2 linked regions of the Caenorhabditis elegans genome follow. The protein of the gene in region 1 interacts with the protein of each later gene in a pairwise test. Each region holds a gene or a part of one and is shown in the gene's direction. Other genes may lie near its edges.

Region 1 (5,776 bases):
GTCGGATAAACGATGAAGTTGCCTGTGCTGGAGACAAAGAACGAGAAGGATTTGATCTGACGACTACTGGGGATACTCTGTTCGAATGTGAATGTGGCTTCAAGTCGTGGAATGGGAACCGAACAGCATCACATTATCACAAATGTCGTCGGTCTATAAATGTATGATTGAATTTTGTGTCAAGAGTGTGCGAAAAAATCTACAACGTTTTTTTTTCGGCAAAATAATTTAATCATTTTTCTATATTTCTACAGTAGCCTTCGAGTCAAAAGTTACATTAAAATTTCAAAACGGGCCATTTTGTAGATTTTTACACTTCCTTATATATGACTTGTTTCAAAATATAATGTTTTTATTGTAGGATATCGAAAGAAAACGGGAAATTGTCCGGCTGGGAAGTGATCCGAAAGAAGAACTCGAACTTTTCGCTGTATATCCACAACCAACAAACACTGAAGCAGAAACTGAAGTACGTTAAAAACAATCGTGTTAAACTGGAAAGTTTTTTTCAGGAAGCAACACTTCGAAAAATTCATTTGGAGAGAGGAGATCCTTTACCAATTCTTGAAGATATTGTTTACCAGCCAATTGATGATTTACCACTATTGTACGTAATTTCTTCTTCCTAACTCTATATACAATACATTTTTTACAGAAAAATGCTCTCTAAAAACCACGACAAAAGTTTGGAAATTATGGAAAAGTGCACGGCGAGTGCCGTCACTACCGAAGACTGATTCGATCTCGCTTGATCTCCTCATTATGATACTATTATTTGTATCGATTTTTCTCCACGGTTAAAAACTCTACTTCATTATGTTTTCCCATTGAATCACATTTCGATCTTTTCCATGCTTATTTTGAATGAATTACAAATGTCTTGAACAAATTGCTGTACATTTATAAAGCCATTCACCACGTTGGCCGAGGACAACGTGTTGGTAATCGCAAAAAGTAGAAATGATAAGCTATGAGACAAAGAAGGGTAAAAATTATTATTAAAACTGTGCATCGTAGACATGAAGACGAGTTAGGTTGTACTTTTATTGTGTTTATTATCTGAAAAATAATCATTTTATCAGAAAATTGAGATATTTATGACTCCTACTTTTTTATTTTCTGTTGGAGATCGAGTAAAATGGCGCATTCGAATACTTTGAACTGGTGGGGAGCTTGTTTTATTTATATGATACTGAGAATTAAATATATTTTTTATCTCTTTTGAAATAAAAACAACTCACATTTAAGATTTTGCAGATTTTATCTGGCTTTACACATGTGGACGGAACACATTCTGCGTCAACAGAAAGAGCATCTTTGAGCAATTTTTCTGCTTCGTTGCGAACCTGAAAAATTAAAAGATGAGAGAAACTGAATATTTTTCAGTGTTATAACGCGTTATCGCATCAATTAACTCACGTCCTGCCCATTTTCAAAAAGACGAACCACTTCTTCAGCTTTTTCAATAAATAAATCAAATTCGTCTTTTTCTTCCATTTATCTTCATTGGGTTAGGTATAAATATGATGTTATTTTGTAGAAAAACGTTTCTAACAAAGATAAAAATCTAAATTTGAAAATTCGCTTTTATGGTCGTGGCCTAGAAATTCGAACTGTGGCTGCTCTATCGCCCACGGATGTGTACTCCTCTCGAAGTATATCTGAATTAAAACGGCGCGAATATGACTCATCGTTCCTTGCCGTCTTGTCTTTATTTATTTAATTGTTTTATCTTTTTAATTAGCTATAACTTCTTAATTAAATTGGAACAGATTTTTTTCTTGCTCTACTGCATTCTTTATTTCTTAAATCCAGCAGAAACGGCCACTGCTTCCTTTTTCCCTAAAATTAGACTTTATCGAATTTGGCTCTTTTCCGTTGATTCAATTTCAATTGTTGATACATTAAACATATCTCTAATACTACAAAACATAACATATTAAAAATTAAAAATTAAAACATTACCTGTTTCAGAATGGAATCGTTTATTGATCGGATTACCGAAGAGACCGATGAAAATTTCCGCATATGTCGAGAAAATATTCCCAATTTTGAAACAAGTACGTTTACTTTTCTTCACAACTTCTCGCATTCTTCATTATCACTTCTTTCAGCAATCAGCCCTCTCTTGAATACAATGAAGAATATCAAGTTGTTACTAGATGATGCAGCTTTTGATCAACAAAAATTGGAAAACAACTGTGAAGAAACATGTATGAACTGCACCAAAAGTCAATTGAATGATTTTCTCGGAATCAAAGTTGAAGCTTCCACGATTGTCGATGTGAAATCACAATTGGTACCTCAAAGTAAAGAATCATCTGCTCTTGTCGAAACCAATGAACCGAATGAACAAGGATTATCGTCTAAACCGAAAGAAAATGATATCAGAATTGTGCCACAGATAACGGATGAAGAATTCAAAACAATTCCAAAGTATCAACTAGGCCGGTTAACGCTGGAAATGATGAATGAAATAGTGAGCAAAATGGATGATTTCCTGATGAAAAAGAGCAAAATCCTGGGGAAAACTAATAAACAGCTGACAAGGAGCGATAGGGAGGTTTTGGACAATTGGCGAGAACTTGTAAGTTTGTTTTACTTGTTTTATTGAAAATAAATCTATAATTTTTCAGGAAATGAAAGCAAGAAAGAGACTTCCAACAACGTTATTCTTCATAGAAACCGACATTCGACCAATGCTCCAAGACCGTCTTCGTCCATCATTTGCCAAAGCAATTCCGTGCCTTCGTCACATTCGTCGAATTCGAGAAGAACGATGCGGACCGTTGACTTTCTATTATCCATAAATTCCTTACGATATTTGTACATTTTTCAAACTGGTCTCAACGTATTAAATTTCTCTGTCAAATAGCTAATAAACGGATTTCTACTTCAAATGATCAAAAAAATTTATTCTTCAATTTTTACACCTTTGTTTTGGTGAATATATTCTACTTTAAAAATATTATTGTTCTGATTAGAAATATGAATTTTTCAACATTTTTAAAATTTATCAGAATGTCATCAGCTCGACCAATGGCTCCACCACCACCAGCTCCAAAGCCAGGACGAGTGAAAGTTTATCGAGCACTTTATGATTTTCAAGCCAGATCTGTAAGCTTTAATTTGAAAAAAACAACCCAATTATTGAATAAATTCAGGCTCAAGAGCTGACATTCAGTGAAGGAGATCTAATGTACGTCAGCGACGAGCAGCCGAACAAAGATTGGTTCCAAGCAAGCATCGGAGGCAAAAAAGGATTGGTTCCAGCTAATTATGGTGAATACTTACAGCACAATCAGGAATGTTTTGCAAAGCTGCGGCGCGGTTCGATGAGAAGCGTAGATTAATTCACATGGTTTTACAGTTTTTAGTTAAATTACTTGTTTTTGAACTTTTTTCGTCAGTTCATTAGTACAAAATCATTTTTAAATGGCCATGCATCAAACCGCATCTCAATTTTGCAAAACCGTCGTTCCTCCTCTTTTATAATTCGAAACTGCACCGAGTTCATCGAGATTTCTAGAAATTCCAATATTTATTTTTTCAGTGATCAGTGAGAATGTGGAAGAGCTCCCGAATCCCCTACATGAAGCTGCTCGACGTGGAAATATGGATATGCTGGCTGAATGTCTTCGAGAGCGGGTATCCGTCAACTCCCTCGATAAGTCCGGAGCTACACCACTTTACTGGGCTTCACATGGTGGACACGCGCCAGCAGTGGATACGTTGTTGAAGGATCCAAAAGTTGCAGTTTCGGTTCAGGTTTGTTGAAATATTCTTTCACATGTAACGAATCTCTAAAAATTAAATTTTCAGAACAAACTCGGTGATACGCCTCTTCATGCAGCGGCCTACAAAGGCCACGTGGAATGTGTGAGACTTCTTCTCGCTTCGTCAGCCAATCCATTTGTAAGGAATCAAGATCAAAAGCTGCCGAGTGATGTGACAAAAGTAAATATTGTTTTTTATAGAAGTTTTCTATAGAAAAAATAATTCCAGGATGCTGATATCGCTGCTCTTCTAGACAAAGCAATGAAAGAGGATCGTGTGAATGAAGAAGAGTATGCTGAATATTTGTCAGACTCGGATGCTGATTAAGACTATTAAATTTGCAATATTTATTCCTTTTGACATCTTGTAATTATTTCTCAAACACTTGTCGATATTTATTGAAACTTTGCCCAACCTGTGATAAACTTTTTTTTCCCTCTATTCTCCTTTTTCAAATACTCGTTTGAATCGAGGTTTTCTTTACTTTTAATCTTTCTATTTCAGAACTAATGCTATTCAAGTATCGTAGTTTTGCTTTTTAATGTGTGAATAGGGATTGAGAAGTCTTAAATTAAACGATTCTACGACCACCTTGAAATAGATAAGCTGGGTCTCGTCGCGAAAGTCTAGATTTCTCTAATTTTGCGGCTGAATAACGAGTAAATACAGAAACCCAAAATACAAATGTTTACTCATTCCATCAAGTTATATATAGGCATAATCGGATGGTTCACTGGTGTGATAGTCGTTGGTGTAGATGTTTGGGCTCTGAGCAGCATATTGATGATGAGAAGAGACAACATCATTCGTGTTCCATGCATATTGCGACGATTCACTTTTTGGCGGGGCAAAATATTGCTGATTGTCCATAACTGAGCTGTTCATTGTCAGTTGATTCGGGTTCTTCTCGAGCTCCGCGGCCTTCATGGTGCAATAGTCCGACACAACGTGGTTGCGTTGCTCAAAAGCGAGTTGTGAATCAACGATACGAATGATCGCGTCGCCGTCGAGTGGGACATCGGCAATGAATTGTGCCTCAAACATATCACTCTCCGATGCTGGAAGAACGTCGGCGTCGCTCTCCAAACTAGCATCCATGTAGAAGCTCTCGACGTATGCCATCTTGAGTGAGCTGCAAAATACTTATTCATTTTTTTAAATGAATATTAGATAGGAGATTCCGATTATAGTGGAATATCAAGAAGAAATAAATGTTAGAAAATAGCAGTGGCTAGAAGAATCTCCTACCAGCACATCACAAAATTTCAGTCAAAGAGTTTCAGCAGCTCTTTAGGATGTTCTAAAGAAATTCTTCTTGCCACTGATCTCAGCTACCGCTTGCCTTCACAGAATTTCCTGTTAAAGCACTTACTTGATGCGAATCGAAATGTGTTCCTAGGGTTGGACTAAAATCGAAATAATTTGATTTTCGATTTCACTTCACGGGAGGGGAGATTTTTTTTGCCAGATTAGTTTTATTGATAAGCAATTAGAATGTCACGTATGTATAATAATTACTATTTTGCTTTTGTTTCAAATTTCAACGTTAAAATATATTTAAATATCCTGTTTTCAGATGCTGGAAAACTTCTTTATTGACGTGACCATCACAAGACCTCGCATCACACCTATAAGAATGTTGAAGAGACAAATCGAATTCACATCGGATTCTATCAGATTCAGGTGTCCCGGAGGAGGAGACAAAGAGTATTACTATACACAAATGATGTACAAGCCGATAGCGGATAATTCACATACGGGAGCCAAATTGTTGAACATTGAGTTGAATAAACAGTGCGAAGAAAGGTGATTTAATTTTTTTTAAATGAAATATCATATTTTTAAAAAAATCGCTCCTTTAGAATTGAAATTCTACAAAAAACATTTTTGCGGCCTGCTATATCTATAAAATACCATTGTAAAGATACTTCTCTTTAATTTTCGATAATTTCTTGCCAATTTACAAATATTCCAGAATTTCTGTTTAAAGTGAAAATTA
Region 2 (8,914 bases), on another chromosome or scaffold:
ATTTATTCCTTTTATTCAAAGTTTTAAAGTCACATATTCAGACTAGCAACACGATTACAAGAACATTTTGCCGTTAATGCGAAAGCAGTGGCAGCAGATCAAGCTAAAATTCCAGCAACTTGCAAGAGTGTTGAAGCGAAAATGATCAGACTTATTGAAGAAACAAGAGCTCATAAAGAACAACATGACGGTTTTATGGCTGCATTGAGCGGACTTAATCAATTGCACGATGACATCTGTAGTATTCAGGTGCGAATTAGAAAAAGAAACAATATTTAATGCATCATACCAAAATTGATTTTTAAAATGTTGCACCTTACATTTTTGCTCAAAAAACTTGCTCCGTTTATCAAAAATTAATTTTCAGATAATTCTTGAAGATATTGTGCCAATGGTTGAAACGCTTAATGAAATTCTAACTCCCGACGAACGTCTTCCTCCTCTTAATCTTGGCTCAGTGCTCGACAGATCTCCCGTTCCAAGCAGTGATAGCTCACTTCAAAGTACGCCCCGCCATAATCAAAATATTGGTCATATTGATCAAATTGAGCCGATTGAAGAAATCCGCGTAGTTGATCTACCAAAATAATTAATTTGTAAATTTTTATTCTCTTCTTGAATCTGTTGCCCTATCGCCCTTCCCAAAAAGTCTTGAAGGCTTTATCTCACTTTCTTCTCGCAATATCAAAATTCCATTGCCGTTTTGTGATTTTTTATTTAGTTCATGCACATATTTATCCGTCAATCCTATTTTGATTTCTAAATTTATCATAAATTCTAGTATTTTTCGCAAATTAATCTAATTAATTTACTTTGAATCTAACTTATATGGTTTGTGCCTTTTTCATATTTCCATTTCTTGTAATTAATTGCATCATTAATTAATTTTTAGATCACCAGCAATGAATGCGAGCTCCAGAACCAAACCTGCAATCGATTTGAACAAGGTAATATCTTAAAATCTCATCATAAAACTTTAAAGCTAAATTTTTTAAGGTTCCTCCGATCGATCATCACCGTACAGCAGTAACATTCAACTGTCTCATCATGAAAATGACAGAAATGCTCAATAATTTCGGAAATAAAATGGAAGACATTTTGGAAAAGGCAGAGCAGAGTTTAGACACTGCCGATCGAAAGTTACGCTTGATGGAATCGAAATTGGCAGGAATGAGTTTGGAGGATAAATCAACCACCGCCACACCATCATCAGCACCAGAAATAGACGAAATTCACGAATCGAATCCCAGCTCTTCACAAATCGTGGAGGAAACAGTGGAAGAGAAACCAGAAGAACATACTACGACGGTTCTTATCAAAGACGACCCGGCTTATAGTAAATATTTCAAAATGCTGAAATTGGTGAGTTTATCCACTTGAAATTGCTTTAATAATACTGTAATTTTTTTTAGGGAGTGCTTGAAGCTGGTGTAATACAGAAAATGAAATCCGAAGGCGTCGACCCATCAATTTTGAAACGCGGTGATGAACCATCTCGTCCACAGGCACAGACTTCACGGAATTATGAATCTTCTGGAGAATCTACGGCATCCTTCTCTGACTCTGATTAATTTATTTTTTGTATATTTTTACGGGTTCATAAAATGTATAAAACATTATTTTTTAATTTTCGGAATATGATGTACTACACTGTTAACTCGTTTTAACGATTATGATATACTTCTATTCATTTTTTTAAAATTGATATAATATACATACTAATTTCCCTTTCAGACAAAATGAAATCACATTCAAATGTAACTACGCCACAAGCAGAACTTGTGAGCCCAGCCATGGGTGAACTACTCAAAAATGCCATCATGAAATCTGTAAGTTATTAAATTAATATCACATGGAAACTTTATTTGAAATTTAGGCTCCTGTCGCTCTTGCACTTATGAAAGGTGAACGTCCTGGGAAGAAAAAGAAAAATAAAAGGGAAAAACAAGGTGAGCGACCGTTCGAATAAATGATTAGACTATCGGCAGTTTTTCAGAAGATGACGTGGAAGTTACACCAAAGTCGAAAGAGAAACGTCGGAAAAGCGAGAAGAAGGAAAAACCTCCAATTTTGAATTATTTGGACGATTCAGATTCTGATTCGGCAGATTTTTCATCATCTTCAAAACGTAAAAGGTCGAAAAGGGCGCTGGAGAATGATTCTGACGAGGATGTGGGAGATGATGGAAAAGAGGAGGAAATGAAGAAGAAAAAAGAAAAAGAGGAGGAAGAAAGAAGGGCGAAAGAGGAAAGAAAGAAGGCGAAAAAAGAAAAACAAAGACAGAAAGAGCTGGAAGAAAGAAATCGAAAAGCAGAGGAGGCTGCTTCGAAACGAAGAAAACGAGAGGCTGAGGTTGAAGCTGAACGAAAAAGGAAACGGAAAGAGATTTCTGTGGATAGTGATGATGACGATAAACCTGCTTTGTTAGAAAAGTACGCATTTTTTAAAATTAAAAACTCGGTTTTCCAAAATATTAAAAAATACTTTTTTACCTTTTAATGAGCAGAATAATTCATAAATATGTCGAACAAATTGTGCAAAAATAAACTAATTTAGCTATGAGGTTTCTCGGTTTGAAGTTTCGAAAAACTAGGATTTTATGTTTTTAGTAAAATCTCCCCTTTTTCCAAAAAAAGTTGACCTGTAGTATTTTTTCTAATTAAAAAAAACCAGGCCGCTGGGAAAAATTGTAGATTCTAGCAAAAATTAGCATTCCTCCCAATTTTGAACCCAATAAAAAAGTATTGAGTAATTTTTGAGAAGTCTCATTACGAATTATTTTGACAGCTACAAATTCCAAATTTTTCATCGCCAAAAAAATTATATTCTTCACTAAAAATATATAATTTCAGACGGAATAGACGTGATTCCTCTACTCAACCATCTTCAAGCTCTTTTCAAATCAATCAGAAACATCTTCAGCACATTGATTGCAGTGGAAAGTCACGTAAAGATCTTATAACCGAATACAATTGCATTTCAACAACACACGCCGAGTTAAAGGAATTTAATGATTTTCTGGAGGAACGCGATCTATTGAAAGAGTATGGTCAATCACAGACATATCTTGACGAGATAAAATTATTCCCTGAAGAGCAATTGCTCACTTGCGATTCTGAAGTTTGCCCATTCATACTGACATATCAAACGTTAGTTGATTTTTAATATCTATCAAATTTTAATTTTTTTTTCAATTTTCAGGCCGTTATCAGCACTTTATCAGGAAGCACGTAAAAAGTGGATACCTCCAATAAATGAGTCGCCTAGCACTTCTCATCTTCGAAAGTATGTTAAATTCTTGTTGTATCATAAATAATTTTTCATTGTTTCAGTAAATGTGTAAATTGCGACAAGATGTTGTCTATGGTGACGGAGGAGACGTGGAAACATTATTTGGGAGCCAGTAGTTACTACTGTTCAGTGAAATGCGTTGCTGGAAAAGTAGAAAAAGTTATGAGGGTTTGTTTTTTTTAGTTTAATTTTAATTTTATCTAAACATATTTTACTTTCAGACGAATCCCAATGCTGAAACTATTACAGTAATGAATGCATTGACTGGAGAGACTGTTTCGTCGGGTGTGTATTCACGCGAACTTTGCTCATTTTTCCTTCTTGCTCCGAATTGGATGCCGTTCAGTACTGTACCGAGTAAAAATCCAGAGCCATTGGATCCAGAAGCAATAAAAAAGAAGGAAAAAGAAAAGGAGAAAGAAGCTGAACGAGAAAAGGAAAAAGCAAAAGATAGAGAAAAGAAAATAGCTGCTCTTTCGAAACCGATTCCCAAAAAGAAGCCAGAAACCACGAATTCTTTGCGACAAGCCAATCGAACTCATATGGAGACCGCTGTCGTTGCTCGAATTGATAGGATGAAGTTAAAAGGAATTGATCGGAAGGAAATGAAAGATCTTGTTGATCAACTCGAAGAAATGTTATTTGATAAATGTGATCGTAACATTTCTCATCCTAAATATCGTGTCTGGAAACAGCAGTTCATTCACAATTTTGAAGCTGAAAGTGCCAAGGATTTCGTGACGGCGGTTGTGTTAAAACGATTATCTGTGGAAAAATTGATTGCATTGGATGCGAATTCTTTGAGAAATCCAATGTGCTGGAAGATAAAGCCAGTCGGCGGATTAACTCAAGCTAAAAGAAGGTCAAATGCATCAAAAAATGTGAGTTATTTCAAAAATTTTGCTCCAAGAGTACGGTTCCCGGTCTCGACACGGCAAATTTTGATTAAATATGACAAGGTGTGCGCCTTTAAACTTTAAAGTTTAAAGAGTACTGTAGTTTCAAACTTGTGTTACTGCAGAATCTTTATTGATTTTTCTTAACTTTTCTCGCGAGTTGTAAAATTTATGTGATTTTCTTTTTATATCAAAGTTTATTGTAAATAAATAAATTATTCTTCATTTAATACCAATTTATCGTGACGAGACCGGTTACCGTATTTTTGGATCAAAATTGACAATGTTTTGCGTCTGGGTAATATTCATTAATTTTCAGCCACTCGATTCAATCATAGGAGATGATTCTCGTGATACGACCGGCGAGCACATGTCTCACGCATTCTCAAAAACTTGCAAAATATGTCAAGCAAAGCAGCTGGCGGATGCTGAAGAAAAGCTTCGGAAGCAAAAAGAAGAACGTGATCTGGAAGAGCGGCGGGAGAGAAATCGTGAACTTCGAGAAGCTATGCGTCAGGATGAAATGGAACGACGGAAACGAGAAGAAGAATCAAGGCATCGGAGGAAAGCTGAAGAACGAGATGAATGGGAGAAACAGAGGCAGAAAAGACGTGAGGAAAGAGATCAAGATCAAGATGATAATGACTTTGGTGGTGGATCTTTTACACCAGTATATGATTTCGAAGGGCCTTCCGATTCAAATAAAAATGAAGAAAAGGATGTAGACATGCGAGAAAGAGTCGAAACTCGAAGTGAATGGGAATTTCCGATACGAATCTACATGGCTGATGAGCCATTTGATTCAATTGCTACTCCAATTTTTGCTCAATCCGATGAAAATCGTCCACTATTCCGTCAATTCGATAGATATCTCGCTGAGAAGACATTCAATTTGCACACTCCTCGTCGTTTACAAGAGTTTCTAATAGAATCTAATAATGCAATGAATGATACTAGATCATGTGCATTTGCTGTGCTCAAACTGACTTCTGCTGGTACTTCGAACAGTTATCAGAAGGTTTTGGATTACAATTTGGATCAGGATACTGTATATCAGCTCGATTTCACGGTTGGAGATGAGATTCTTTCGGTTTTTCTTTTTCCGCATAGAGGATCCGAAATATTGCATGGTAAATTTTTTGACTTTTGTCTCAAAAAATACTGTATCAGGTCTCGACATCTATTTTCAATAAAAAAATTTTTTAAAGTAATAATTATATATATATATATTTTTTTTTTAAATTAATAATAATTCTTAAAAAATGTAATAAAACATTACAATATACGAAGTGTTGTCGAGAAGTTGTCCAATTTTGAAATTTTTGTTCAGAGAAAATCGAAAAGTCGATAAATTGAAAAATAGAAAATCGAAAAATTTTACATACAACTTTTTCTAAAAAAAAAACAAAGTTTTCAGCTAATTTTTTCTAAAAAAAAACAATGTTTTTTTTCTAAAAATCGGAAAAACCTACCTATTTTCGTTTTTCTCGAAAATCTAAAAAATCGAAAAATTTTGTAAAAAAAGTAACGAGAAATTCAAAAACGTTGACAAAGTTTTTTTTATGAAAAAAATGATAAATATACAATTTTCTTCTTTTAAAGTATATCAATTTTCCAAAAAACATATTTTTTGAAAAAAAAAAACTAAAAATAATAATTTTCAGATACATTTGCACCAGTCAAATACAACATTGGTACAACAGAAAATTGTTTCATGCTGATCGTTGTTCTACGTCCAAATTTTGCTGAACGCTTTCAATATTCTGTTAGAGTGTGTGATCTTGAAATGAAATCTCAACTGTTGCGGATTGAACGGGAGAAGTTGATGCAAACATCTTGGAGACAACAGACTCAAGAAAATGAAGAAAAAGAAACGTGGAAAAAGGATAGTAGAGCTTCAATATCCCCAAAAATATGTTCTAAAGATGCTGAAGATGCAACTTCTGAAGCAGTTAATCATTCGACACCATCTACTTCTGAAGATTTGGCTTCCAAGAAAGTTAAATTTATCCTGCAAATTGTGAGCAGCGCGAAACAAATTAGTGAGTAAACTTTCCTATATATTCAAAAATTTTAAATATTTTTTCAGAAGAGATCGTTGCATCTGCAAAGGATTTTATGATGGATCCAGATGTTTCGGATTCTGATAAAGATAAGATCAAGCAAATTATACAAGAGAAAATTGATGAGGAGAAAGCACTTAAAAAGGCTGAAAAGATGAAGCAGAAGACTCAGACTAGCGATGATTTGGAAGAACCATCTATAAGCGAGCAAACTCTCAATGGCGCCGAAGTTCCTTCTCGCTCGAATCTCGACTTCAGCCGTCCACCTCCAATCTTCTCTCAACAATCGGCGGCACCTCATGTTGTCACTGCTTCCATGGATGTTCCATCATCGTCTGCTGCAGTTCAATCTCAGCATCCGATGACGGCTCAAAGTGTCACTCCAATGGCATCGCACATAGTTCCTGTGGCTGCTCCGGTACCTGTTCCAACACCGTTCACAATTCCTCCACCGGTTCCACCACCACCTCCGACAGCAACTTCAACACAATCTCAGCAACCTCAGTTCCTCGAAGGACTCGGAATGACGGATAATGAAATAGTGGCCGATGCGATCCGACGAGGGATGGTTGCTCCGATTCCACAGGAACTTCTTATGGGATCCGGTCCCGGGCACATCAGAGATAGATCACAACCTGCGCTCACAGCAAGTGTGCTCACTGGATCATCACTTGAAGCCGATATGAGAAAGTTGATGGAAATGAATAGACGGATTCAGATGGAAAAACGATTTGCACAAGATATGGATGAAGTCGAAGAAAGAAGAAATATAAGAAGAGGTGGATATAGACCACCACCACCGTTCCATAATGGAACTGATATGATGGAAAGAGACATGGAGAGACGCGATCATTCCATGATGAGACCTCGTCCAAATCACCCTCTTTTGCAAATGGATACAGGTAATTTTTTTTCTTTAGTAAGAAACTTCATGATTTCAAATTCACCATTTATGAATAATTCCAATAAACTCTGTGATTTACAGCTCCTCCTCAAAACGGATCTGATCCACCACAACCTTCCGAATCCTGTCCTGCTCCACCGAAGAATAGCTCTAAAAAGCGAAATAATCGGCGAGGAAATCGTCGGAACACAAATGAACACATCCAAGCCAATCATGAGGATTCGGATAGTTTCTCAACGAGTAGAAGTTCTTCCCCATCACCGCCTCCGCCACCTCCACCTCCACCTCCTCCATCTGATGATCTTACGCCGGTTCCACCTCCTCCACCTCCACCGCCGACGATGAGTAAGGCTCCAACTGGTGTACCTCTTCCAGTTCCACCACCACCTCCATTGTTCTCACCATCAATGATATTGCCACCTCCTCCACCTCCTCTTCCCAGCGAGGAAAAGAAGAATCCGTTGCCGACCGCTAATAATGGGCATACTGATAACGGTTCAGATGATATCGATAGGAACGTACCAACGCCACCATCTCAAAATCAGTATTCAATGCCTCCGCCAGTGATGGGAGGACATGAAGGTTCATGGAGAGGAGGTCCACCGATGCGTGGAATGCCACCACTCGGAATGATGAGAGGGAGAGGTGGACCACCACCGCCGAGAGGAATGAATTCTCCAATGAGAGGAATGCCACCACCAATGCGAGGTGGAGGGCCACCGATGCGAGGAGGACCACCTATGAGAGGAGGACCGCCAATGTTCCGCGGAGGTCCACCTGGTCCAGGAAGAGGAATGCCATCTCCAATGATGAGAGGATCCTCAATGAGAGGCGGTTTTCCTCAAAGAGGCGGAGGACCTGGAATGGGACCATCTCAATATTATCATGGTGAGTTTAGTAATTGATATCTGAAGAATACTTTGAAAAGTCTTTTTCTGTTTTAAAATATGCTAATTTCAGATTCTCCACAAAATCGAGGTCCACCCATGGGTGGTTTACCACCCCCACATGGTGGTATGAACGGTTGGAGAGGAGGTCCACCTCCTCCACGCGGAGGATCACATTGTCAAGGACCACCACCATTGATGGGAGGACCCCCACCTCGTCTGGGTATGCCGCCGCCTGGCCCGCCCCCACCAAACGGAGGACCGCCACCACCGTCAGTCGAATGGACCAGCAGATTTTGATTATCCCCGTTCACCTTCACCTGTTTACCTGCCTGCCCAATTTATAGCTCTCGTTCACTTTTTACATGACCGGTACAAAAAACAATGACTGACGAATATACTCCACCAATTAGTATATATCACTTGGCTTCTTAGGTTCTAAAATGATGCATTATGTGCCAATTTTCATAAGTTTATTTCGATTCTCCTGTTCTCTCTGCTCTCTTACGTGTATCACCTTCTCTCCGTCAGATTTTTAATTCATAATTTTATATATAACTTGATGTCTTGATAAAAGTACAGCTTCATCCCTTTTCTCCCTTCTCACAGCCCGTTCCTTTTTTTGTGTTTCAATTTCTTACCGCTTTTCGCTTAATAAAGTGATGAGTTGATTAAGGTTTCTTTCTGTTTTTTTAAATGAAAATGCCAATTACATAGTGATTGACAACTCTTCGAATTTTGCTCATGGGAACTATGTTAGATAAAAGTTCCGAACATCAACCTCTTTGTTCATCTAATTTGAAGTCGCGCACAAATAAGTGTTTTGAGATTCTCGGTCATATACTCCTCTCGGGCAAAGAATGAATTACAATT

The links. Proteins that work in one complex are often made in the same cells at the same time.
Region 2: the proteins of Y106G6H.14 (region 1) and F59E12.9 interact in a two-hybrid assay, tested with the Caenorhabditis elegans proteins (2 studies listed by BioGRID).

Annotation. Positions count from the first base shown.
Region 1 is NC_003279.8:10,470,634-10,476,409, reverse strand, and holds Y106G6H.14 (Osteoclast-stimulating factor 1), read left to right. Parts: upstream 1-3,020; 5' UTR 3,021-3,021; coding exon 3,022-3,117; intron 3,118-3,164; coding exon 3,165-3,282; intron 3,283-3,553; coding exon 3,554-3,768; intron 3,769-3,822; coding exon 3,823-3,957; intron 3,958-4,005; coding exon 4,006-4,104; 3' UTR 4,105-4,214; downstream 4,215-5,776. Other genes in the region: row-1 (C2H2-type domain-containing protein), read left to right, coding at 1-161, 362-469, 513-607, 656-737; Y106G6H.16 (Dynein light chain), read right to left, coding at 913-1,059, 1,109-1,192, 1,242-1,346, 1,420-1,497; ska-1 (SKA complex subunit 1), read left to right, coding at 1,976-2,060, 2,115-2,587, 2,637-2,810; Y106G6H.13 (Reverse transcriptase domain-containing protein), read right to left, coding at 4,483-4,899; duo-3 (ubiquitinyl hydrolase 1), read left to right, coding at 5,354-5,583.
Region 2 is NC_003280.10:5,639,863-5,648,776, reverse strand, and holds F59E12.9 (TFIIS central domain-containing protein), read left to right. Parts: upstream 1-1,734; 5' UTR 1,735-1,739; coding exon 1,740-1,829; intron 1,830-1,876; coding exon 1,877-1,949; intron 1,950-1,996; coding exon 1,997-2,432; intron 2,433-2,852; coding exon 2,853-3,149; intron 3,150-3,201; coding exon 3,202-3,285; intron 3,286-3,332; coding exon 3,333-3,459; intron 3,460-3,512; coding exon 3,513-4,172; intron 4,173-4,506; coding exon 4,507-5,317; intron 5,318-5,851; coding exon 5,852-6,229; intron 6,230-6,276; coding exon 6,277-7,152; intron 7,153-7,235; coding exon 7,236-8,042; intron 8,043-8,114; coding exon 8,115-8,341; 3' UTR 8,342-8,714; downstream 8,715-8,914. Other genes in the region: sam-4 (BLOC-1-related complex subunit 5), read left to right, coding at 42-249, 368-589; ddl-1 (WASH complex subunit homolog 3), read left to right, coding at 903-947, 997-1,362, 1,413-1,571.